Linked DNA regions of Danio rerio. The protein of the gene in region 3 interacts with the protein of the main gene of each other region in a pairwise test. Links are inferred from orthologs where the notes say so. Each region holds a gene or a part of one and is shown on either strand. Other genes may lie near its edges.

Region 1 (7,552 bases), on a different chromosome or scaffold from region 3:
ACATTGCTAGTTTTGCGGTGAACAATTCATCTGTGCATGTCATTAAGAAAAAAAAATCGTAATTTGTCATTTTTATCCCGTTTCTCTAGGAACTACGTCACATTACAAAAAAAAGCTTAAATCGTAGCTTCTGGTTCATGGGGACTACATTTTTTTAAACTGATTTTTAAAAAAGGTTGTCACTCACTCACTTTCCTTGTTTCTTTATTTGCCACAGCGGAATGAACCACCAATTACTCTGGCATATGTTTTACTCTTGCTGCCGCAACCCAGCCCTGAGAGTGTAACTCATGCAGTGCCCTGAGAATGTTACTTTAAAAAAACTAATTTAAATTTGAATAAATACTAAAAATAGAATTAAAATAGCAAGATACGCTTGAGATTTAGTTTTTTGATTTTTGTTAAAATTGTTTTGCATAAAATGTAATTTCTACTCTACTAGATGTCAACGGGTGTATTGAGATCATAATGCTGAAAATCTGTGTATACACAAATACAAAAATGTCAAATAATCTTGTTTAAGAATTAATTTTCTTTTCGACCTAGTCCCCTCATCAATCCGGGGTCGCCACAGCGGAATGAACCGCCAACTTATCCAGCACGTTTTTACACAGCGGATGCCCTTTCAGCCGCAACCCATCTCTGGGAAACATCCACACACACTCATTCACACACACTCATACACTATGGACAATTTAGCCTACCGAATTCACCTGTACCGCACGTCTTTGGATTGTGGTGGAAACCGGAGCACCCGGAGGAAACCCACGCGAACGCAGGGGGAACATGCAAACTCCACACAGAAACGGCAACTGACCCAGCCGAGGCTCGAATCAGCGACTTTCTTGCTGTGAGGCGTCAGCACTACCTACTGCACCTCTGCATCGCTGAATCTTGTTTAAGAATTTATAACGTCCAAAATATCAAATAACAATAATTAACCTAAATCTATATGAATTTATCTATATAATATTTTAAAACACACACACAAAGACACACACATATAATTCACTCTGAAATAAATCTTGCTGTCTAACTTTTCAGTTAAATCAAATTAACTAGCTGTAGTCGTCATCTCAACTCACACCAGTTAAAAACTGGCTAAAAATAAAAGGTTAAATTGTGTATGCAGTTAAAGTCAGAATTATTAGCCCCCCTTTGATTTTTTTTTTCTTTTTAAATATTTCCCAAATGATGTTTAACAGAACAAGGCCATTTTTTCAGTATGTCTGATAATATTTTTTCTTCTGGAGAAAGTCTTATTTGCTTTATTTCTGCTAGATTAAAAGTAGTTATTAATTTTTTACAAACCATTTTAAGGTCAAAATGATTAGCCCTTTTAAACTTTGTATTTTTGATAGTCTACAGAACAAACCATCATTATACAATAACTTGCCTAATTATCCTAACCTACTTAACATTATTAACATAGTTAAGCCTTTAAATGTCACTGTAAGCTGCATAGAAGTGTATTAAAAAATATCTAGTGAAATATTATTTACTGTCATCATGGCAAAGATAAAATAAATCAGTTATTAGAAATGAGTTATTAAAATTATTATGTTTAGAAATGTGTTGAACAAATCTTCTCTCTGTTAAACAGAAATTGAGGGGAAAAAATAAACAGGGGGGTCTAATAAATCAAGGGGGCTAATAATTCTGACTTCAACTGTACATTATGTATAATGGTAGTGTTCAGTGACAAGATCCATTTAGAAATAATTCTGTAATGCCAAACATTATACACTTCAGAAATCAATGCCATACAGCTTTATTAACTTATTTAAATAAGTTAAAGTAACAAAATATTGTTGACTTTTGTCATATCATTTTTACATTGTGTATAATAAACTGAAATCGAATAATATAATAAGCAATCTTCAAACAATATATACTATTAATACAAATAAGTTAATTATGCAAATGTATATTTTTACATAATTAAAATGTATTAAAATCAATTAATAAAAAAGTATTTCTTAAAAATGTAATAATACAGTTTACATATAACGCCATTTATATTAATAGGTTTAGAAAATGCTTAAATAAACTGAATAAATTACTTCCACTATTCATAATAACATTTATATTTATAAATAGAAACTAATATTTACCGAAATATAAAATACAGGCCTAATATATATATATATATATATATATATATATATATATATATATATATATATATATATATATATATATATATATATATATATATATATATATATTCATAATATCCATCTCATGTGGTGCATATAGTACTGAAGTCATTTTGGGATACTGTATTCTTATTTTATATTGTATGTTAAAACAAATTAAAACAATATTTTAAAGCCCTTTTTATTTATTTATTTTTTTATTGCAATTTTAGAACACAGAACATACAAAGGGAATAAAAACATTATGTTTACATAAAAATAAATACAACATAAAACAAAAATAAAAAAATACAATTATTCAAAGACAGCATTTAAGGCTTTAAGATAATAATAGTATAATAATAACAGTTCTTTTTGTTTGGTATTTTTTGTTTCTTTTATTGTCCTTGTCCTATTTCTATTTTTAAGTGAGTAAAATTAGGTTTTTCCACTGCACATGTACATTTATGAATAAAAATATTTCCATATATAATTAGCAAATTACAAAACACCACATTATAAAGTAGACAGTATTCTCATATAAAGAATAAATAATCTTTTTCTTTGAATTGAAAAGCAATATTCATAACGTTTACCAAAAAAAAAAAAAAGATAACACCAAAACAACTGTGTATAAATACAACCATAACATAAATGAGCAATACTCTCTTCTTTATCATCACAGAAAGCGCATTATAAATCTACATTTCATTTTAAAGCCCTTTTAAACCCCTCTTTCTGTCTTTCTGAACATCCAATCAACGCTAAGAAAACCTTCTAGATGCCGCCTCCCAAATGCGTCACGATCTCTCAGCGATCATATGACAACACCACAACAAAAATGTCTGCCTGCATCTCAGTCCAGTAAATGTTTGATCGTTTTAGGAATACAATAAAAGTCTGCATACATGCAAAACCTCCTGCATCAGACTGCGACGCTTTAGAAACAAACAAAGTCAGACGAAAACTAGTCAGAAAGCGAATATTTTAGCACGTAAGCGATTACACTCGTCTGTATCGGTTTATTATTAGCATAACTCAATAAATCTCGTGCTTTGCTCTCGAAAAAGTTCAAATGGAGCCCACAGCTTCGGGAATATTCTGTAACAGGATGCTCAGTATGGTGAACTCTGAGGATGTGAACGCCATCATTCAAGCCCAGAGACATATGTGAGTATCCCTGTCTAGTGAAATTGAGGTAAAATTCGGATTATATTCACACATCCAGACTTTCTCCTTAACAGTATAACTTCAGAAAAGTGTCGTTTTCAAATTCTTAACAGTGGAATCATATTAGCAGCCAATGACTATCAAAATGCAACATTGTTCACAGTCAAATAAATAGTGCTAATGTTGTTTTCAAGTCACACCAAAGTCCCTGTAAGGCATATTGTATTCTATGTATTCTATAGTCTTTGTGATTTCATATAATTCATTTTCTTGTCGGCTTAGTCCCTTTATTAATCCGGGGTCACCATAGCGGAATGAACCGCCAACTTATCCAGCAAGTTTTTACGCAGCGGATGCCCTTCCAGCCACAACCCATCTTTGGGAAACATCCACACACACATTTACACACTCGTACACTACGGACAATTTAGCCTACCCTATTCACCTGTACCGCATGTCTTTGGACTGTGGGGGAAACCGGAGCATCCGGAGGAAACCCACACGAAGGCAGGGAGAACATACAAACTCCACACAGAAATGCCAACTGAGCCGAGGTTCGAACCAGCGACCCAGAGACCTTCTTGCTGTGAGGCAACAGCACTACCTATTGCACCACTGCCTCGCCCTGATTTCGATTATTCAAATTACCACGGTAAACATAAGGAAATTGAGGTAAAGTTGGTTTTATATTTGAACATTCTTTCAGTGATCACTTGTGATATGGTCCCTATATTGTTTACCATGGTACTGGTAAAACATTGGGTCTGAAATCCTGTGTAAGAATGACTTCAAAACAACATAACCACTATTTATTTGACTATAAACAACCTAGTCTGATGCTCATTGACTGCTAATATGTTTCCACTATTTAGTATTCGCAAAGAGTAAGTTTCTGAAATTATATTATTAAAGAGAAAGTCTGAATGTGTGAATATAAAACCAACTTCACCTCAAAATATAGGAAGAATGTCACAAGTTGAATTTAAAACCAACTTTAACGTACCTAAATTCTAGTAAAGTACCTAAAAAGGAAGCTGTTTAAAACCTGTTTTGATGCATGTCCTACAGGCTGGACCGCTTTGAGAAAACCAATGAGATGCTGATCAACTTCAACGGCTTGTCCAATGTGCGCTTACAGCAGATGAATGAACACTTTCTGATGCACACCAGGACTTTGATAGAGATGAAGAAAGACTTGGACAGCATCTTCAGAAGAATAAGGTGTTATGTTTGCAAATTAAGATTGAATTGAGTGATGTTTAGCAATGAGTGTGTTACCATATTTTACTATTTTGTCATTTAAAATGCCATTAAAGTAACTTTTCACAAATTAAACTCAACAAATTAGTTGAGTAATATTACATTGTAAGTCAGTACATTATTTAAGTGTAAATAGAAAATGTACTCTAGTTTTCACCTGTGTATAGGGGAGAGCGGGGCACAAAGTAACACTTTTTGGTTTTGGCCAAATAATGAACAAAGTAATGGAGTTAGACAAACCATCTGAATTCATACGGTCAAGGAAAACCTGGAAAAGTCGTAGTATTTTGACATGCCTTTTTCAAGGCTTGGGAAAGTTTGGGAAAAAGAGAAAAACCCACAAAGTTTTGGAAAAATCATGGAAAACAGAAATCTTTATACTTGAATATAGGTTATTTACTGCTTTTCTGTCCTTTGCCAGTCACATTCTCACAATATTAGTGTGATGTAAGCATTATCTGAATCAATTTTACATAGATGTAAATATAAATTAAAACTTAATAGGTTGTTGCTTGTTTTACGATATGCTGTAATCAATTTGAACCTGCATTGTTTTTCTTTTACCATGCATATGTAGACATTGCATGAAACATTAAGGTCATAAAAATTTACTTAAAAGTTTTGGAAAAATCATGCAAAAGTCATGGAATTTTAGTAGTAAAAATGTGTCTGAACCCTGAACCATTTATTTTTACCAACAACACACAAGCCTCTCCTACCAATGAGCAATGGTTGTATGATTTTCAGACCTATGGTTTCTGTGTATTATTGCCAAAAGTGCAGGGAGTAAAAATGTTACTATTTACCCCACATGTGGGGCAAGTTGTAACAGACAGAGGGTTAGTTGTAACACATGCTTATAAAGTCAGCTCTCACACAATTTATTTAAAATCAGTTTATTTAAATAGTAGCTATATTTCCTCAGTACATTGCTCAGTTTATTTTTATTCAACATAGCACAATATGTTTATTTATTTATCTGTTGGATAAAGACATTTGGATTTATTTCATTATTGTACATTATTATACAATGCACTTATTTGCAGTATTAGCTATAAAATAAATTTTTTTCTATTAAAAAATATTTTCTTTTATAAAACATTTTGTATAAAAAGTTCTGAACATTACACTCAAAAAAAAAAAAATATATATATATTATCAGTCACAGTTTTTTTTTTTACATCTTTCAAAATGGTTCCATCTTTCAGCCTAGAAGAAGGTAATCACAGCAATATAAGATTTTACTTGCATACTTACACAGATTTTTTTTTTAAATAAAAAATACCAACTAAAAAAAAAAAAAAAAAACTTTTATGCTGCAAAAACGGTTTCTCCTGTATTTCTCATTAAAATTTCCCTGAAAGTTTTCAATAATTGGCAGGAAGACATTTGCCGACCGACACTGTGGTGAAAACTTCGGAAGCATGGCATGGTTAACCCTGCGCAAATACCTTGTTTTCTATTTTACTCCACGTTACTTTGTGCTCTGCCCTCCCCTATTAACCATTTAACTGCCTGCTCATCCAAATGGTTGACCATATATTTACTGATTTTAAACAATGACTGTTAAAGTCATTCAAGAAATGACTGTTTTAAATAATGGTTCACACTACTACACTTGATTTTGGTTTGATTGCAAAAAAACAAACAAGAAAACATGTTAAATGAGAATCTAAAATATTTTATGGTATACTTAAAAAAAAATAGTATTCAAATTTTTCAGAAATCATTCAGAAATGTTTTATTTTGAATCTATTTTTAAATAATCAGTCTTACACTTCATATTTTCCGATTTTTCAAAGTATATTTATTAGTTCTGGTACTTTTACCATTAACCAACATATCTACCATTTGGTAGATGCTGATACTTTAGAAATGATGGGATGTGTTTTGCATTGAGTGCATTACTAGTGACATTAGGAGTTAAGAAATGCAATCCAAAACATTTTTCTTAGTGGGGCAGTTAAAGTGTTAAATAAACAAGTAATAAGTGATCATACTAAATTGTATTCATATTTTAAGATTTTTTTAAAAGAGTATTACTGACAAATTGGTAGCTAACAGAAGGCAAAGTGTAAAGATTTAAAATGACAATTAATTAGTATTTTTTGCTCCACTGTGAGCCCTAAACAGAGTCTTTTAATATGGCATGACTTAATTATTGTTCTAAATGTGCATGAAAAGATTACATTTTTGTAAAATATGGTAAAATGTATAGACATACTTTTTTGCTCAGAAAAAAAGGCTGCATAACGTCTAATATATTTTGTGTTTCCTCAGGACGTTAAAAGGCAAGGTTGCAAAGCAATATCCAGAGGCCTTTAGCAGTAAGTATTTATGTGTTATTTTTTTGATTGGGATGATGCAGTATTATTAACACTGATAAATCTTAACATTCAACTATTTACTGTATTTCTTGCATTACTAGTGTGTGGTCAGGTAGAACGATGGCTCAGTGGTTAGCACTGTCGCTTTACAGCAAGAAGGTCTCTGGTTCAAGTCCAGGCTGGGCAAGTTGGCATGTCTGTGTGGAGTTTGCATGTTCTCGCCATGTTGGCAGGGGTTTCCTCCACTGTCTAGTTTATTCCACAATCCAAAGACCTGGTAGAGGTGAATTAGATGAACCAATTTTGGAAGTTTCACATTCATTTTCGTCATAGACATTTATTAAGAACCCTATATAAGCAATGAACCAAAATAAAAGAAATACCTGAATATCAAAAGTTACTTAAAGGGATAGGTCACCTCCCCAAAAAATGTCATAATTTCTTCACCCTTCACTGGATAAAAACCTATATGAGTTTATTAATTTTTTTCTGTTGAATAAACAAAATAAGATATTTGAAGAATGTTGGGGTCCCAGCAAAATATCTTTTTTTTTTTATTCAACAGAAAAAGGAAACTCTTAAAGGTTAAAAACCATGCGAGGGGAAATATCCATTTAATTGCTTTAATAAGAATAAAAACTACAACCCGATGAAGCA
Region 2 (7,821 bases), on a different chromosome or scaffold from region 3:
GAGTAAATGACTATGATGAATGAGAACACAGGTCTGTGTGTATAGACGTATAATGTGCTGCTGTACAGTAACGGGTCGTTTGTGTGTTTGGGTTGTCTTTATTTTAATGCTCTCCTGATGATGATGATGTGGTGGGCTTTATCTGCCTGATTCCCGCTGAAGTGGGCGGGTTGTGTGACGTTTTAATTCGGGGGATGTTTTGGGGGCGGGGTTTGCGTGACGCGCTGCGAGCTAGTGAAAGAGCAGAATGAGCAGAGCGGCGTGCGCTAGCGCCATCATGAGGCCCATCCTGCAGCCAGTTCTGAAGTAACCAATCAGAGAGCAGGATTGAGCACATGACTGACATCATCTAATGCAGCGAGAAATACAGAGTAATATGGAGATCTCTCTCACGGCCCGCCGGCCGACACTCCTGCTTCAACAGACTCCTCTGCTGGACTGTCATTCACTCCAGCTCCATGTGCTTTATGCAGAATATCAGCTGTTTCCACTGCTCTGTGTGTGTGTGTGTGTGTGTGTGTGTGTGTGTGTGTGTGTGGCTCTGACTTCACCTTGCTGTGTGTTCTGCAGCGCACCGAAGCCTCCAAAGCCCAGAGCTCCTCCACCCAGAGCCCCAGTGAAGCCTGAAGCCGGAGCCGGAGCGCTGGAGAAGCCGAAGCCCTTACTCTGGGTGTTGAAGAGACTCGAACCTGCAGGCGGAGAGGAGACGCGCTCAGAGACAAGCACACACACAAACACACACACACACACGCATGCGCACACACAAGCATACACACACACACACACACACACACACATATGCATGCATGCGCACACACAAGCATACACACACACGCATGCGCACACATACACACACAGTGTCCCATTTCAGATACACACACCACACCCTAACACTGTGTGTGTTAGAGACGTGTGTGAGGTGTGTGTAGTAACTCTGCAGTGTGTGTGCACGGGACGCAGCATCTCTCCTCTCTCTCTCTCTGTATGTGTGTGTGTGTGTGTGCGCCTGTACCTGTGTTAGCCGGTGTGGAGAAACTGAAGCTTGACCCAGTGCCGGCGGAGGTGGTGGTGGAGCCGAACCCGCCAAACGCTCCTGCTGGAGACAAACACACACCACAGATGAAAAACACACACTCACACACACGCACACGCACACAACAGAGACGAAAAAAACACACAAGATGAAAACACACACACACACACACACACACACACACCGGAGATGAAAAACACACTCACACACACACTCACGCACACGCACACAACAGAGACGAAAAAAACACACAAGATGAAAACACACACACACACACACACACACCGGAGATGAAAAACACACTCACACACACACTCACGCACACAACAGAGACGAAAAAAACACACAAGATGAAAACACACACACACACCGGAGATGATGAGCACTAACTGTTGATGACATGATCAGAGTGGCACCAACACACACACACACACTACGTCTGTCTGTCTGTCACTCTCTCTCTCTCTCTCACACACACACAGGGATGGAGGCGTGGCGTGATCTGATCATGCGTGACCTTTGACCTCTCGGAGCTCATCTACCTGCTCCCCCGAGGCCGCTGCCGAAACTGAACACCGGGGCCGCAGGGCCCAAACCGAACCCGCCGAAACTAACAGCAGCGGCAGAGGGGGCGGGGCCAGGGCCCGCACTGCAGACCAGGGGCCCGAATCCTGACCACAGCGGCCCCAGGAGAAACACACACACACAAACAGGAGAGAGTCAGTGTGTTAGAGACAGCGCGCACACACACACACACACACACACACACACACAGGAGAGAGAGAGTCAGTGTGTTAGAGACAGCGCACACACACACAGGAGAGTGTGTTAAAGACAGCGCATGCACACACGCACACACACACACACACACACACACACACACAGGAGAGAGTTTGTTAGATACAGCACACACGCACACACGTGAACGCAAGCAAACACATGCTCGCACGCACGCGCACACACACGAGAGAGAGTGGGTTAGTGACAGCATATGCACGTATGCGCACACACGTGCTCGCTCACAAACACACACACACACAGAAGAGAGTCAGTCAGTGTGTTAGAGACAGCACACACACACACACTCACCCGTGCCACCAGTGCCGAAGCCGAAGCCTGTGGAAGCTGATGTGGTGGTCGGCGCTCCAAAGCCGGTTCCGGTCAGACCTGTAACCATGGCAACAGCATGTTAGCAGCGCGTGCGTGTGTGTGTGTGTGCACGCGCAGTGAAACATTACTGATGATGAGGATGAAGGCTGTGTGCTATACTGCATTAGAGGACTGTATAGGGGCGATGCTGTCTGTGATGGAGAGGAAGGGAATCCTGCTGTTATTATAGTTAATTATAACTGTTTTCATGCCTGAACATAACGAAACCACAGAACAGACCCGCAGTGAAGAGCAAGCGGCGCCCCCTGGTGGATCAGCAGTCTGGGTTGTGTATAGGGAGGATCGGCTCTGATGTTTGTTGCCAGCCTCCAGAGAAACAGCTTTACAGGATGATATCGGGACAGAACCGTCACATACAGGAGAACGGCGGGAGGAAGAGCAGCAGGGTTGACGGTGTGGTCTGCTGACGGCAGCTGAACTGCAGCACATCTCTCTAACCACAGTGACCCCGTCATCATTACAGCATACAACTCACTCTGACTGAACTGTGACAGGTCAATATAACCAACAACCAGCAGAACCCTGACCACACACACACACACACACACACACACACCACTCAGATGCAGAGTGCAGATGACGAGAGCAGAGTGTGTGTGTGTGTGTGTGTGTGTGTGTGTGTGTGTGTGTGCTGAGGAGGGAACTGGGGGAGCGCTGCTGTTATGTGTAATGGAGGTCAGCTAGTGAGTGCTGTGCAGGTAAACCTCGATCCTCCGACCTCTAGAGGTGCTCTAGCGACAGACACTAGAGGCCATGGTGTTTCGCCTCCTTGTAAGGCCTGGTTTATACTTCTGCAGCAAGTGAGCGGCGTGACCCACGGCGCATGTAACGCGTGTAGCTGTGCTTATACTGCTGTTGCTAGCTCTGTTGGTCTGCATTAACACTTCTGAAGCACTAGTGGGCAGTGAGGTGTAAATGTTCCTCTGTGTCGAGTTTCTTCGCTGCTGTTTTGCTATCCTGAACACTTCCTGGATGTACAAGTGGCTCAAACTCGCTCATTTTGAGGCAGGAACCGGCGGACGTGCAGCAACTGTAACCATGAGGGAAACACAGAACAAAACTCTCCATCCGGAGCTCCTTCACTTGTAAACATTCGCGCGGCTCTCGGTCCCGCCCAGACTCGTCAGCGATACCAAGCCGACCAATCACAGAGCTTGCGCTACGCGTTGTTGTGACGTGTAGTTACATTTTTTGAGAGGTGCACGTCAGCGACGCCGATGGCCACGGCGAATGGCTATTGGTCAGCGGCGTAGCATACGCCACCGTTTGCCGCAGAAGTATAAATCAGCCTTAACATGCGAAAGGTCGCCGGTTTGATCCCAGCTCAGTGCAGGTTGGGTGGTGTGGGACCGGCGGGGTGACACATGCAGACCTTCACCCCAACACAACCCCTGACAGAGCTCACTAGCAGACTCTACAGTGAACTCCTGCTACCAGCCAATACTGCAGAGCACAGCAGCGGTACTGGAGTGTTACTGGAGTGTGTAGTGTGTACTGGAGTGTGTAGTGTGTACTGTAGTGTATACTGGAGTGTGTAGTGTATACTGGAGTGTGTAGTGTGTACTGTAGTGTATACTGGAGTGTGTAGTGTATACTGGAGTGTGTAGTGTGTACTGTAGTGTATACTGGAGTGTGTAGTGTATACTGGAGTGTGTAGTGTGTACTGTAGTGTATACTTGAGTGTGTAGTGTGTACTGTAGTGTATACTGGAGTGTGTAGTGTATACTTGAGTGTGTAGTGTGTACTGTAGTGTATACTGGAGTGTGTAGTGTATACTGGAGTGTGTAGTGTGTACTGTAGTGTATACTGGAGTGTGTAGTGTATACTTGAGTGTGTAGTGTGTACTGTAGTGTATACTGGAGTGTGTAGTGTATACTGGAGTGTGTAGTGTGTACTGTAGTGTATACTGGAGTGAAGAGTATCAAAAAACGTCACTGATCACAAATTGAACATATTAAACTAGCTTTACCTCACAGGCCCGGGAGAGAGGGAGAGTGTGTGTGTGTGTGTGTGTGTGTTTACCGAAGCCCGTGGCGCTGCTGGCGGTGGTTGTGGTTGAGGCGCCGAAACCAAACGGAGTGGATGAAGATGACTTAAATGAGAAGCCCGGAGCGCCTTCATCATCATCACCATCACACACACACACACACACAGTTATGAACGCACAACAGCAGCCGCACAGTAATGAAAACACACACACACACACACACAGAGCAGATGAGATGAGCGCCAGTGGTTTACAGCACAGTGGTATCAGGTTTACAGCAGTATCAGCGCTCCTGCAGCGCCGTCATCATGTTTAATGTTCATTATTAATAGTTTTAGATTAATTTTACTCACTCGCGCTGCCCGACGCGCCGCCGAAGTTGAACGCCATGCTTCCGGTCCTGAGCGAAACGGTCCGCCCGGAAACAAAAGCTGTGAACAAGAGGTTCCTACCGGTAGCGTCGCGTCACACACTCCTCCGGCGTAGCGCGCGAAAACATTGATATAGATTAAAGTGAAACTGGAGCTCATCAGCAGAACAGCGCCGCTCAAATGTTCAACTGTGCTTTTGCACTCAGAGTCCGCCATGTTGGGACATTAAACCTGGCCGTTATTCAGTTGCGGCTCAGGATGTGCTGCAGTCAGCAGACGACATGAAGACAGAGACACAACCGTCAACATTAATAAAACATCTTTATTAACACACCATGATGATCATGAACACACACACACACTCGTGCAGATTCACACACTCAGGCCCTTCTTCTTCATCAGGGTCTTCTTCTTCAGCTCCGTCAGCCGTTTCTTCTTCTTCTTCTGGGGCCCCGGGGCCTCCGGCCGTGGGGCTTTGGGCTCCGCCGGGGTGTTGAACACGGCCTCCGTCAGGTCAGGCTGCAGCAGCACACACTCCTCCATCCGCTTCTCCATCCGCACCTGCTTCACCATCTGACGCTCCTTCTGCCGCGCGGCTGCAGCCAGTCGGAGCATGCGCCGGTGCTGCACACACGCGCACACACACACACACACACACACACACACACACACACACACACACACACACACACACACACACCAAAACAATATTAACACTCAGATCAATAACAGATCAGTAGCAGACAGTGCTGCGTGCGTGCGTGCGTGCGTGCGTGCGTGTGTGTGTGTGTGTGTGCGCTGCTGACCGCGTTGGGTGACTGGAAGTGTGGGTTCTCGTAGAGCGTGGGTCCGCCGAAGCTGCCCTGGAAGATGCGTATGGGGTTGAGGACGAAGCGCGGGCCGATCTCCACCAGCGAGGCGTCCTCCTCCACGATCTGCAACAGGAGAACAGCGGTCAGTGGAGCGCCGCAGAACCGCAGATCCTCTCAGAACCGCAGAACCTCACCTGATAGTTCCGGAACCAGATCCTGTGGTCTGCAATGCTGAAGCTGATGACATGATCCACGAACGGCTGACTCTTAGGGTGGTGCAGCGGGGTGGAGAAGACCTGCAGGACACGAGCAGTGTTAGTGGACATTGCAGACCAGTACAAACCAGTTTGAACCAGTCTAAACCAGCTATAAACCAGCCTAGACCAACTATAAACCAGTCTAGACCAGCTATAAGCCAGTTTAAACCAGTCTGTGCGCTAGTTTAAGTCCTGAGCATGTACACTGGGGCGAATACACACACACACACACACACACACTGGATTAAAGGCGGCTGTAGCTATGGCGGGGGCTGATCACTGAGGGCTGTTCTCACATGCCGTCTTTTCTACAAGCTAGTTTGCTTTTTCGTGAGCGGCACGATGTGCTCACGCTTTCCAGGCACACCAGGTTAAAAGAACGGTGCGAGCGCACTGTGCATCACGTGACTAGAATGGACCAATCAGCTTCATCCTTCATATGGAACACACACATTACTGCTCATGAGAGAAACACGAGATGAACAGCAAACACACTCCTAATGCAGCCTGCGACTGCACACACTCTCTCTACAGGCCAATACTCACAACCACATCAATAATACAGACAGCTGTTATTGTGCTCACTGACTGACTGATTGATCTGTCGTTTATTTTCAGTGAACACATTATTCCTCATGTTTAAATGCCAGAAACTCTTGTCTTCTGTTGAGTCCACAGGGAAATGCTGCTGGGTCTGCTGTGCATCAGGCAGCGAGCCGCAGTGAAGAGCTCTATACTGTCACCAGCTGATGCAGCACAGCAGCGCCATTACACATGACAGAGTCTTCCTCAGACTACAACCACACATCCAGCATCTGCAACCCTACATGCCAGAGTCAGACGAGGAAGATGAAGATCAGAGGAAGATCAGAGAGGAAGATGAAGATCAGAGAGGAAGATCAGAGAGGAAGATCAGAGAGGAAGATGAAGATCAGAGAGAGATGAAGATCAGAGAGGAAGATCAGAGAGGAAGAGATGAAGAACAGAGGACAAACACTGAAGAGCACCTGAGTGAAGAGCTCCTTCAGCAGTGCGTACTGCGGCTCCGAGTCAAACGCCTGAAACACACACACACACACACACACACACACACACACACACACACACACACACACAATCATCATTATTACACTACATACCATCATCACACACGCTCATCATCATCATCATACACACACACACACAATCATCATTCGTACACTACACACACCATCATCACACACGCACATCATCATCACACACACACACATCATTATTACACTACACACAACATCACACACACACAATCATCATTATTATACTGAACACACAATCATCACACACGCACATCATCATCATCATCATCACACACACGCACGCACGCACACACGCACCGGGTCGAAGGACAGCAGTGGTCTGGAGCCCTTCAGGCAGTTCCCGGTCATCTTCAGCTCCGCCAGAGTGTGAACTGAGAGAGAAATAAAGCTGCTGCTCTTCAAACACTTCAACACTTATGCACACGCAAACACACACACACACACACACACGCAAACACACATGCAAACACACACACGAACGCACCCACACACACACACGCACTGCGGTAATCACTGATTAATTGTGCATAATTATATTCAGCAAACCCCCACACTGATGCACAGTATAGCCCAGACCCTGTGTGTGTGTGTGTGTGTGTGTGTGTGTGTGTGTGTGTGTGTGTGCGCGTGTGTGTGTGTGTGTGTGTGTGTGTGTGTGCGCGTGTGTGTGTGTTTCCATTGGTGGAATTTTAATGGACTTGTACCGTTTTGAACGAGAAACTTCACCGACGGTCCGTGAGGAACATTAGAGATCCTGGAAGAGAAGAGCAGATACTGTGAACATGAACACACACCACACACACACACACACACACACACACACTGCTGTGCTGCTCACCACATGTAAAGGTCCTGCTTTTTCTTGGCCTCAAAGAAGATGCACTTGTTGCAGTTCTTGATTTCACAGACCTGAAACACACACACACACACACACACACACACACACGCACACACACACACGCACACGCACACACGCACACACAGGTGAGAGAGAGCTTTAATTTTATTGTCATTTCAGCTTCTATGGCTGTCATGGCACAATAAAACAGATCAAGGTTTCCAGAGTTTATAAACACACTTCACTATATTTATTAAAGTTCTAATAATTAAAAGTG
Region 3 (7,689 bases):
GCATAAACACAATGCTGTTCACTACTTGAAGTGGCTGTATGCAACATTCAGAAACCCTTGTCATAAGCAATATTGGTGGCCTAAAATGAACGGCATACAGTTCTGGGCAGATTACTTTGAAACTGTAGTCAATTGCTGATTACTGATGATCATGAAGAACTGTGGTTCATTTTAGGTAATGGTTTATGTATTTCAACTACTTTTAGATTACGAACTTTTCACTTACCAACTGATGTAACCACATGTTTATTTTGCTAGCACGCTGAAATTAATCTGTGCTCTGAATTAGTCAATTCAGTGAAAAAGATGTTCAGTGTTTTGATATTCGTTAATTAAATTCTGACCACTTACTATCTACACCTCTGATTACACAAGTTTGGGTGATATATGCTTAACCACGCCCCTCCAACAGTTACTTTGCTGTGAGTGAAAGATAAAAGGAGGAGTCCAAAATGTATGTATGTATGTAAGTATGTTTCATTATTTTAAAATGTTATATACTTCAATTCCAAGTTACAACCTAACTTTCAGAATCTGATTACGTAATGCAGATAACATGTATTTAGTTGCTAACTAGCACTGTGCACATGCCAATGCAAATGCTGTAATAGATTTATGGTGATGCTCTTTCTTTTGTTCTCTTTTAGAAGTAACAAGTTGGAAATTACCATGCAGTAACTGAAAAATGACTGAAAAATAGAACTGAAGAAAAATATCAGACCATAATGATGTATTATGATGTATTATCATATTTACCTTTCCAGTTGCATTTTCTTCTCTGCAATCAGAGCCTGAAGCTGTTGCTGCTGGGCTTCCCGTTGCTTTTCAACCGATTTCAGCAAATTTCTTGCCCCTATGGCCTGAAGGTGAACCATATATAAATACAAAACGCAAATATGCACTGCTAATAGTTTAAAACAACAACGTACCTTCATTTTTTCAGTTTCGGCTTCCTTCGCAAGTTCATCCACAAGTTCAATAAGTCCACCTACAATTTTCTGAAACTGTCCGATCTCTGTTTTCAAAAGCAAAAGGAGAAGTTATTGATCTGGACTGCAAAAAGCAAAGAAATTCAGTTAAGAGAGATAAACTTCACAATGAGATTAAAAAATAAAAAACACTTACTGTCGACAAACTCCTCACATTCCTCTTTGAGCTCAGTTGTTTTCTGGCTCACATCAGGCTCAAGTACTCGCAGTTTGTTGAGCTCATCAAAATGAAGACCAGCCTCTGCTAACGGGTCTTTAGCCATGACCAGAGGACCGTAACCTGCCTGTGTGACTCAATAATGGCTGATAATTATACAGAAACAGAAGTATGTTAAAAGAAAAATATGCATAATTTTATTGTATTCAATACTGACAAATACAGTGTTGATTTTGCAAAGTAAAATGTCTAGACGTGCCAGTATTCAATAATATATCACAACGATAATGAACATACATGCTTTATCACTTTAAAATAAGTAATAATTACTTATTGTTATTGAACTTTCAGAATGCATTTTAAGAATATTCAGTTTGCTGCTTTTGCAATGATGTTCTAAAAAACTTTTTCGCGTTAATCTGATGTACAACATGGCTAAAATGTCATTTAATTAGTTTGAAACGATGTTTTGCTCTGAACATTTATATACCAGCAGGGCCGGAGTGGGACTGCTTTTTAGCCCTGGAGTTTCAAGCCTTAGACCGGCCCACCTCAGTTCACGACTGACTATATTAAAATAACGTCATTTCTAATTTAGTTTCTAATGACAATATACAATCTTTTTCAAGGACACAGCTGCTTTAGAAGTTCAAATGTTTTTCATAAATATGAGAAGATTAAAGGGATAGCTAAATCTCCAACACTATTCTTTACAACGTCCTTTCCTGCAATATCCGAATATATATTCTGTGCAAAATTCTTTATAGATATCCAGTCCTTTGTAAGGGCGGTCACACAAAAAATAAAATATGTACACCTACATAAGTAACCCAATCAGTATTATACTAACACTAAAAATGAAAAGAAAAAAAAAAAAAAGATTATTTAGGTGAGGTTCGAACTCGGGTTGGCAGCGTTGTAACGCAACGTGCGGACCATTTGACCATTTTTTCTCCTCTTTTTAGATTTCTGATCAAGTTATGTCAGATTTATTAATGTACTGAATCATCTGATTTTCATTGAGCAGGTGTAATATTCACTAATATTAATTATTTGAATTCTTATATTCACTTAGGCGCTGCTGTCATCATTAACCTGCAGGCTGCATTTTGCTCACGGGGCTGCTAGAAAATAAATAAAAAGAGCGGAGCTGCGCCAAATAATGAATAAAAAGAGTGAGGCTATGGTCAATAAAAAAAAATTTGGCCTAGTGGCCAAAAAAAATGGACTGGCCCTCCCGGAATTCTCCAGATTAGCCAATCCGGGCCAGTATACAACTATATTGACATATACATTGTTTGTGTGTGTGTATTTGTACAAAGACACAGTTCTAATATTTTGTGCTCTATACAGAAACACAAATTTAAATTGAAACAAACAAGATGTGCTTTAACTGCAGACTGTCAGCTTTAATTTGAGGGTATTTACATCCAAATCAGGTGAACGCTGTAGGAATTACAACAGTTTGCATATGTGCCTCCCACTCGTTAATGGATCGAAAGTAATGGGATAGAATAATAATCATGAATCAAACTTTAACTTTTTAATACTTTGTTGCAAATCATTTGCAGTCAATTACATCCTGAAGTCTGGAAGTCTTCACCTGATTTGAATGTAAATACCCTCAAATTTAAACTGACCGTCTTAATTTCAAATCCGTTGTGTTGATGTATAGAGCAAAAAATGTTAGAATTGTGTTGATGTCCCAATATTTAATGTTCTCACTGTATATATACTGTATATATGTATGTATATATATATATATATATATATATATATATATATATATATATATATATATATATATATATATATATAAAATCTTTTTTAGACACTAGGTCCAATAGTACAAAAGACAATATAAACCACACAATACGTTAAAAAATACAGTTATGCCAATATTTTAAAGGTGACTGATAAAGCACCTCCATAAGCCTAGGGTTTAACATTAAAATGCTATTCTGAGAATTCTCTTATCGACAAATAAACTTATAGATCAAATTTCTCATCCAAAGCAAAAAATGATCAAACTCTTACATCACAAAATAATTCACCTGTACTACACCTAGGCATGGGACGATAACAGTTTTCAAGGTATACCATAGTTGGGAAAAGTCAAGGTTTTAAAACTGCTATAATTTTCTGCTATACAGTTCCTAAGGTATGTGTAAGATTTTTCATTAACATTTTTTGTTGTTGTTGTTTTTTGGGACAACAGTATCTCCAACAGAAAAAAATATTCAAAGATACCTGTTAAATTGTAATGAATTAAGTGTTTTTAAAATAAATAAAGACAGCAGAAGTCATGGATTCATTTGAACTTTTTAGTCTGATTTGTTAACTGCTCCTAAATATTTGAAAAATAAATATTGTGTTCAAAGGGGGGAAAGTTTTAGTTTTTTACCCAGACATTTAAAAAGAATATATTTCAGAGCAGTAATCTTAATACCGTGAAACTGATATTTTTTATTCATGGTTTTCATACTGTCAGAATCCTATACCGGCCCATGCCTAACTACACCATCTATGTTTTTAAGAGAATCTCCATACAATCATTGTATGCAACCTGGAGCTTATGGACACTTTATTTAATTATACCACAGAGGAGCTGTGTATAAAGAACTGCAATAAGTTCTAAAGAGGTTTAACTTTTAACCTGCTCCGAAAACTTTCTCCCTAGCAAATTTGCTTCAACATATAACTTTAAACGTTCCCTGTACATGTACTTTTTATCACTCATATCTTCTGTAATGACATGCCCTAAATATTTAACAGCCTTACTAGCATTTAAATTTTGCCGTGACATCATGTAAACACTCCTTTTTAACCTAACCTTTTTTATTATATTGCACATCATAGTTCTCTCTCTCTCTCATATATATATATATATATATATATATATATATATATATATATATATATATATATATATATATATATATAAACTTATTTTTATCACATGTTAAAGCAACTCTTTATTCCACCACACGAAGATAATACAATATAACGTGATAAATGCTTTAGCAATGATAAACAAAACAATCTGATTCCATCATGACAATCTCTTGCAATAAAGCATATCCCAATTCACAATGAGCTAGCTAACGGATTAGCTAGTTAACGTAGCAGGTTCATTTGAAGTAACGTTACATGAAACTACCACAGTCGTTACATTGCACCAACCACGTAAGCGTAGAGTATGTTTACTTAAAAGAAGAGGTAGAGATGCTATTGTTCACAAAATTCGCTTTGTTGCTGATATGGTCTGGTTGCCATTGAGATAGATAAACACAAACAAACAAACAAACCAGCTGGGAACTCCACAATCTTATTAAACTGTATATACAATATTTACAATTACTGAACAAAATGGCACTTTATAAAGTAAAATAAACTAGTAAATGTCATAACCCTACCTGACTTTTGTTTGGTTATGTGGCACTTCTGTTGGACCGACCGACCGCTTCCTCGCATCTGTCTGGCGACGGCCCGTCCAACTCGTGATGAAACGGAGGGGTGTACGAGTGCATCTTAAATATATTTATGTTTGAGATCTCGCCTTCTTTAAATTAAATAAACACCCTTATGTCTCATAAATAACTGAATAAGCGGTTATGTTATCTGTTTTGCAATAGTGTAGTAACACAAATTCATAGCCAACTTTAAAAACCTACCCCCTCCTAATACTGTAAACGTTTATGTATGAACTCGTCCTGCAGTTCTGCATCAGACCCATATGCGCGCGCGAGACAACTGATGGGAAGCTAAACTTAGTCAAAATCACAAGAAGAAGAGCTAATGGCAACAATTTAAGGGCGCCAAACTCTAAAATGATATTAATTTGTCATATTTCATATATCTAACAGGTGAGTTCAGCAACAGGAACATGTACTGTGTATGTTTAATGTTCGCCCTTTCACGGCCTGACGCCATTTTAGCTAACTAACTTAGTAACGTTAGTAACTTACAACTAGTTGCCAATATTATGTTTATTAATTCTCGTCACAATTTGTAAACAGCTGATAGAAACTTGTTCATGTTTCTGTTAAAGACATTTTCAAGTTCATTAGAAAAATTAACATTCAGATATCTCGTTTTTTTAATAAAAGACGGCGACAATACATTTTTCTGTGTTTAACTTGTTTTTAATTGTTATGGATTCCATATTTTAGTATTATAATTGACAATTATGATTATGTTTGCATTCAAAATAGAACATAGTAGCCATTCTAGCACACATTTAAACAACATTAGTTTTACTTACAAAACAAGTTAGAAAAAATAGTACAAAACAAATATGAAAATGTTAAAACTTCAATCTGATATGCAAATTTGATGTTTTTTTTTTTCCATTTAACGATTGTTATCTGTAAACTATTGGACCAAATACTGCCTACATTCTTTAATTAAATTTAATATTTTAACTTTTCTGTGAATTTATTGTATACAATATTTACTACTTATTTATTTAACATTTCTACTTTGAAATGTCATTACAGATGTAATAACATGCCTCTGTCAACTCAGTCCCAATCCGATGTTGACCAGTACATCCTGATAGCCAGTTTGGACAATGCAAGGAATCTGTCCAACATCCTAAAAGCCATCTCTTTCAAGGATCATGCCATCTTCAATGCAACACAGAATGGGTTGAAAGTCACAGTTGAGGACTCCAAATGCCTTCAGGCCAATGCATTCATTCAGGTTGATGTTAGCAGACAAATTCAGACACTTTCTGCTGAGAACAGTTGAATCTTTAAGCATATTTGTGTATTTTCTGACATCAGGCTGACATCTTTCAAGAATACATCATCAAAGAGGATGCAGTTGGCTTTCAGGTTAACTTAACTGTTCTTCTCGATTGCCTCACCATCTTCGGGGGAAGCACAGTGCCAGGTGTGTATTACAATTGTGATCCAGTCTTTTTTTGGGAAATGTAACATAATCTTTGTTTTTATTTTATCATTAAGGTGTGTGCACCGCCTTGAGAATGTGCTACAATGGATATGGATATCCACTAACTTTGTTCCTGGAAGAAGGTGGTGTGGTCACTGTATGCAAGATTAACACACAGGAGCCCGAGGAGCCCATAGACTTTGACTTTTGCAGTACAAACGTGACCAACAAGGTGATTCTGCAGTCGGACAGTCTTAAAGAGGCTTTCTCTGAGCTGGACATGACCAGTGAGGTTCTGCAGATTACCATGTCACCGAGCCATCCTTACTTCAGGTACAGTAGTTATGAACATGACATGTTTGAAGTGGTTTAAATAAGGGATGTCCAGATCACGTTTTTTTTTTTGTTTTTGCCTCCGAGTCATTTGATTTTGAGTATCTGCCAATACCGAAACTCGATCTGATACTTTTATAATGCATTAAAAAAATAAAGAAGAGCAAAGAAATAAATCCAGTATGTTCCTTATTTTTTATTTAGTTCACTGTATTTTAACATTTAACAAAGATCACTTCTGTGAGGTAGCTTGAACAATCAAGTAATAAGTAACATAAATTCTTCACTTTTGGACTTAAGTGCAACATTAAATATTTAAAAAATCTAATATTAAACCAAAAAGCACCTTATCTTAAAATACTCAGCAGGCAACGCTGCTGTTTCTGTGTGAAGTTAAGAAAGAGGTCTAACTCTGTGACATCGCATAACAATATATGTGTTAAAAAAAAACAAATATATATATATATATATATATATATATATATATATATATATATATATATATATATATATATATATATATATATATTGATCTTGACATCTCTAATTTAAATGTTTATTTTTTTTCCATCTGATAAAAAAATGCTTACAAGGTTTCTTTTATTTTTATAAAAAATTGAAAAATCACAGTACATTTGTGAAATCTTCCCACAATTTACAGTATGTGTTTGCATTGTGATATTTAAGAATGCTGTTCAGTCCTGTGATGGCAAAGCTCAACTTCCAGCACAATGTGTCCAGTCTTCCACATCTCATGATCCTCCAGAAATCATTCAAATGCACTGATTTCCTATTTAAGAACAGTATAAGATTTTTTAGAAATGGTTATTGATACAGTTTTTGTTTAATGGAAAGCTCAAATGAAAAGCATTTATTTGAGGATAACGTTATTTATTTTGATAAATGCAGGTCAGAATATGTTTTCCACTTTTAAACCTTTGGTGATATGATATAAGCATTCAGGGTTTTTTTAACAAATGAAAAAAACAAACAAAAAAATTTGCGGTTTGTTTTTTATTTATTTATTATTAACTAATTTAATGCATTTTAATTAATTTATTTATTTGAATATATGGTTCAAATAGAAAAATAATAAATGTAATTTTATATAATGTAGGTTAAGTGTTTATGTTATTAATTCATATAATTTTGTGAAAAATATTTATTTTTGACTCAGAATAAAAGCAGGACACATTTATATGTGCAAGGAAAAATGATCTGAAGCTGCTTTGTACTTTTTTTGCTTTCGTGCTTGTAAAAGCTTTTAAAAACATTTTTCCTTTTCTTCCTAGATTATCCACATTTGGTAATTCT

Evidence for each region.
Region 1: the proteins of ift20 (region 3) and kxd1 interact in binary tests that used the Homo sapiens proteins (3 or more experiments, as listed by UniProt). The two-hybrid records come from large-scale screens. The link is inferred for Danio rerio from reciprocal best matches to the Homo sapiens genes IFT20 and KXD1.
Region 2: the proteins of ift20 (region 3) and nup54 interact in binary tests that used the Homo sapiens proteins (3 or more experiments, as listed by UniProt). The two-hybrid records come from large-scale screens. The link is inferred for Danio rerio from reciprocal best matches to the Homo sapiens genes IFT20 and NUP54.

The regions. Positions count from the first base shown.
Region 1 is NC_133200.1:21,950,240-21,957,791, forward strand, and holds the start of kxd1 (kxDL motif-containing protein 1), read left to right. Parts: upstream 1-2,957; 5' UTR 2,958-3,213; coding exon of another isoform or gene 3,214-3,308; 5' UTR 3,309-3,960; intron 3,961-4,376; coding exon of another isoform or gene 4,377-4,404; coding exon 4,405-4,529; intron 4,530-6,848; coding exon 6,849-6,895; intron 6,896-7,552.
Region 2 is NC_133196.1:122,479-130,299, forward strand, and holds the start of nup54 (nucleoporin p54), read right to left. Parts: upstream 4,596-7,821; 5' UTR 4,581-4,595; coding exon 4,544-4,580; intron 4,319-4,543; coding exon 4,226-4,318; intron 2,201-4,225; coding exon 2,123-2,200; intron 1,705-2,122; coding exon of another isoform or gene 1,576-1,704; intron 1,097-1,575; coding exon 1,013-1,096; intron 690-1,012; coding exon 552-689; intron 1-551. Other genes in the region: bxdc2 (ribosome biogenesis protein BRX1 homolog), read right to left, coding at 4,934-5,185, 5,368-5,496, 5,568-5,669, 6,638-6,688, 7,004-7,077, 7,411-7,460, 7,545-7,615. UniProt on the Homo sapiens protein: Component of the nuclear pore complex, a complex required for the trafficking across the nuclear membrane.
Region 3 is NC_133190.1:26,248,803-26,256,491, reverse strand, and holds the start of ift20 (intraflagellar transport protein 20 homolog), read right to left. Parts: upstream 4,623-7,689; 5' UTR 4,563-4,622; exon of another isoform or gene 4,559-4,562; intron 1,297-4,558; exon of another isoform or gene 1,293-1,296; 5' UTR 1,253-1,292; coding exon 1,126-1,252; intron 1,016-1,125; coding exon 930-1,015; intron 861-929; coding exon 757-860; intron 1-756. Other genes in the region: cell cycle checkpoint protein RAD1, read left to right, coding at 5,656-5,850, 5,934-6,042, 6,117-6,375, 7,668-7,689. UniProt on the Homo sapiens protein: Part of intraflagellar transport (IFT) particles involved in ciliary process assembly. May play a role in the trafficking of ciliary membrane proteins from the Golgi complex to the cilium.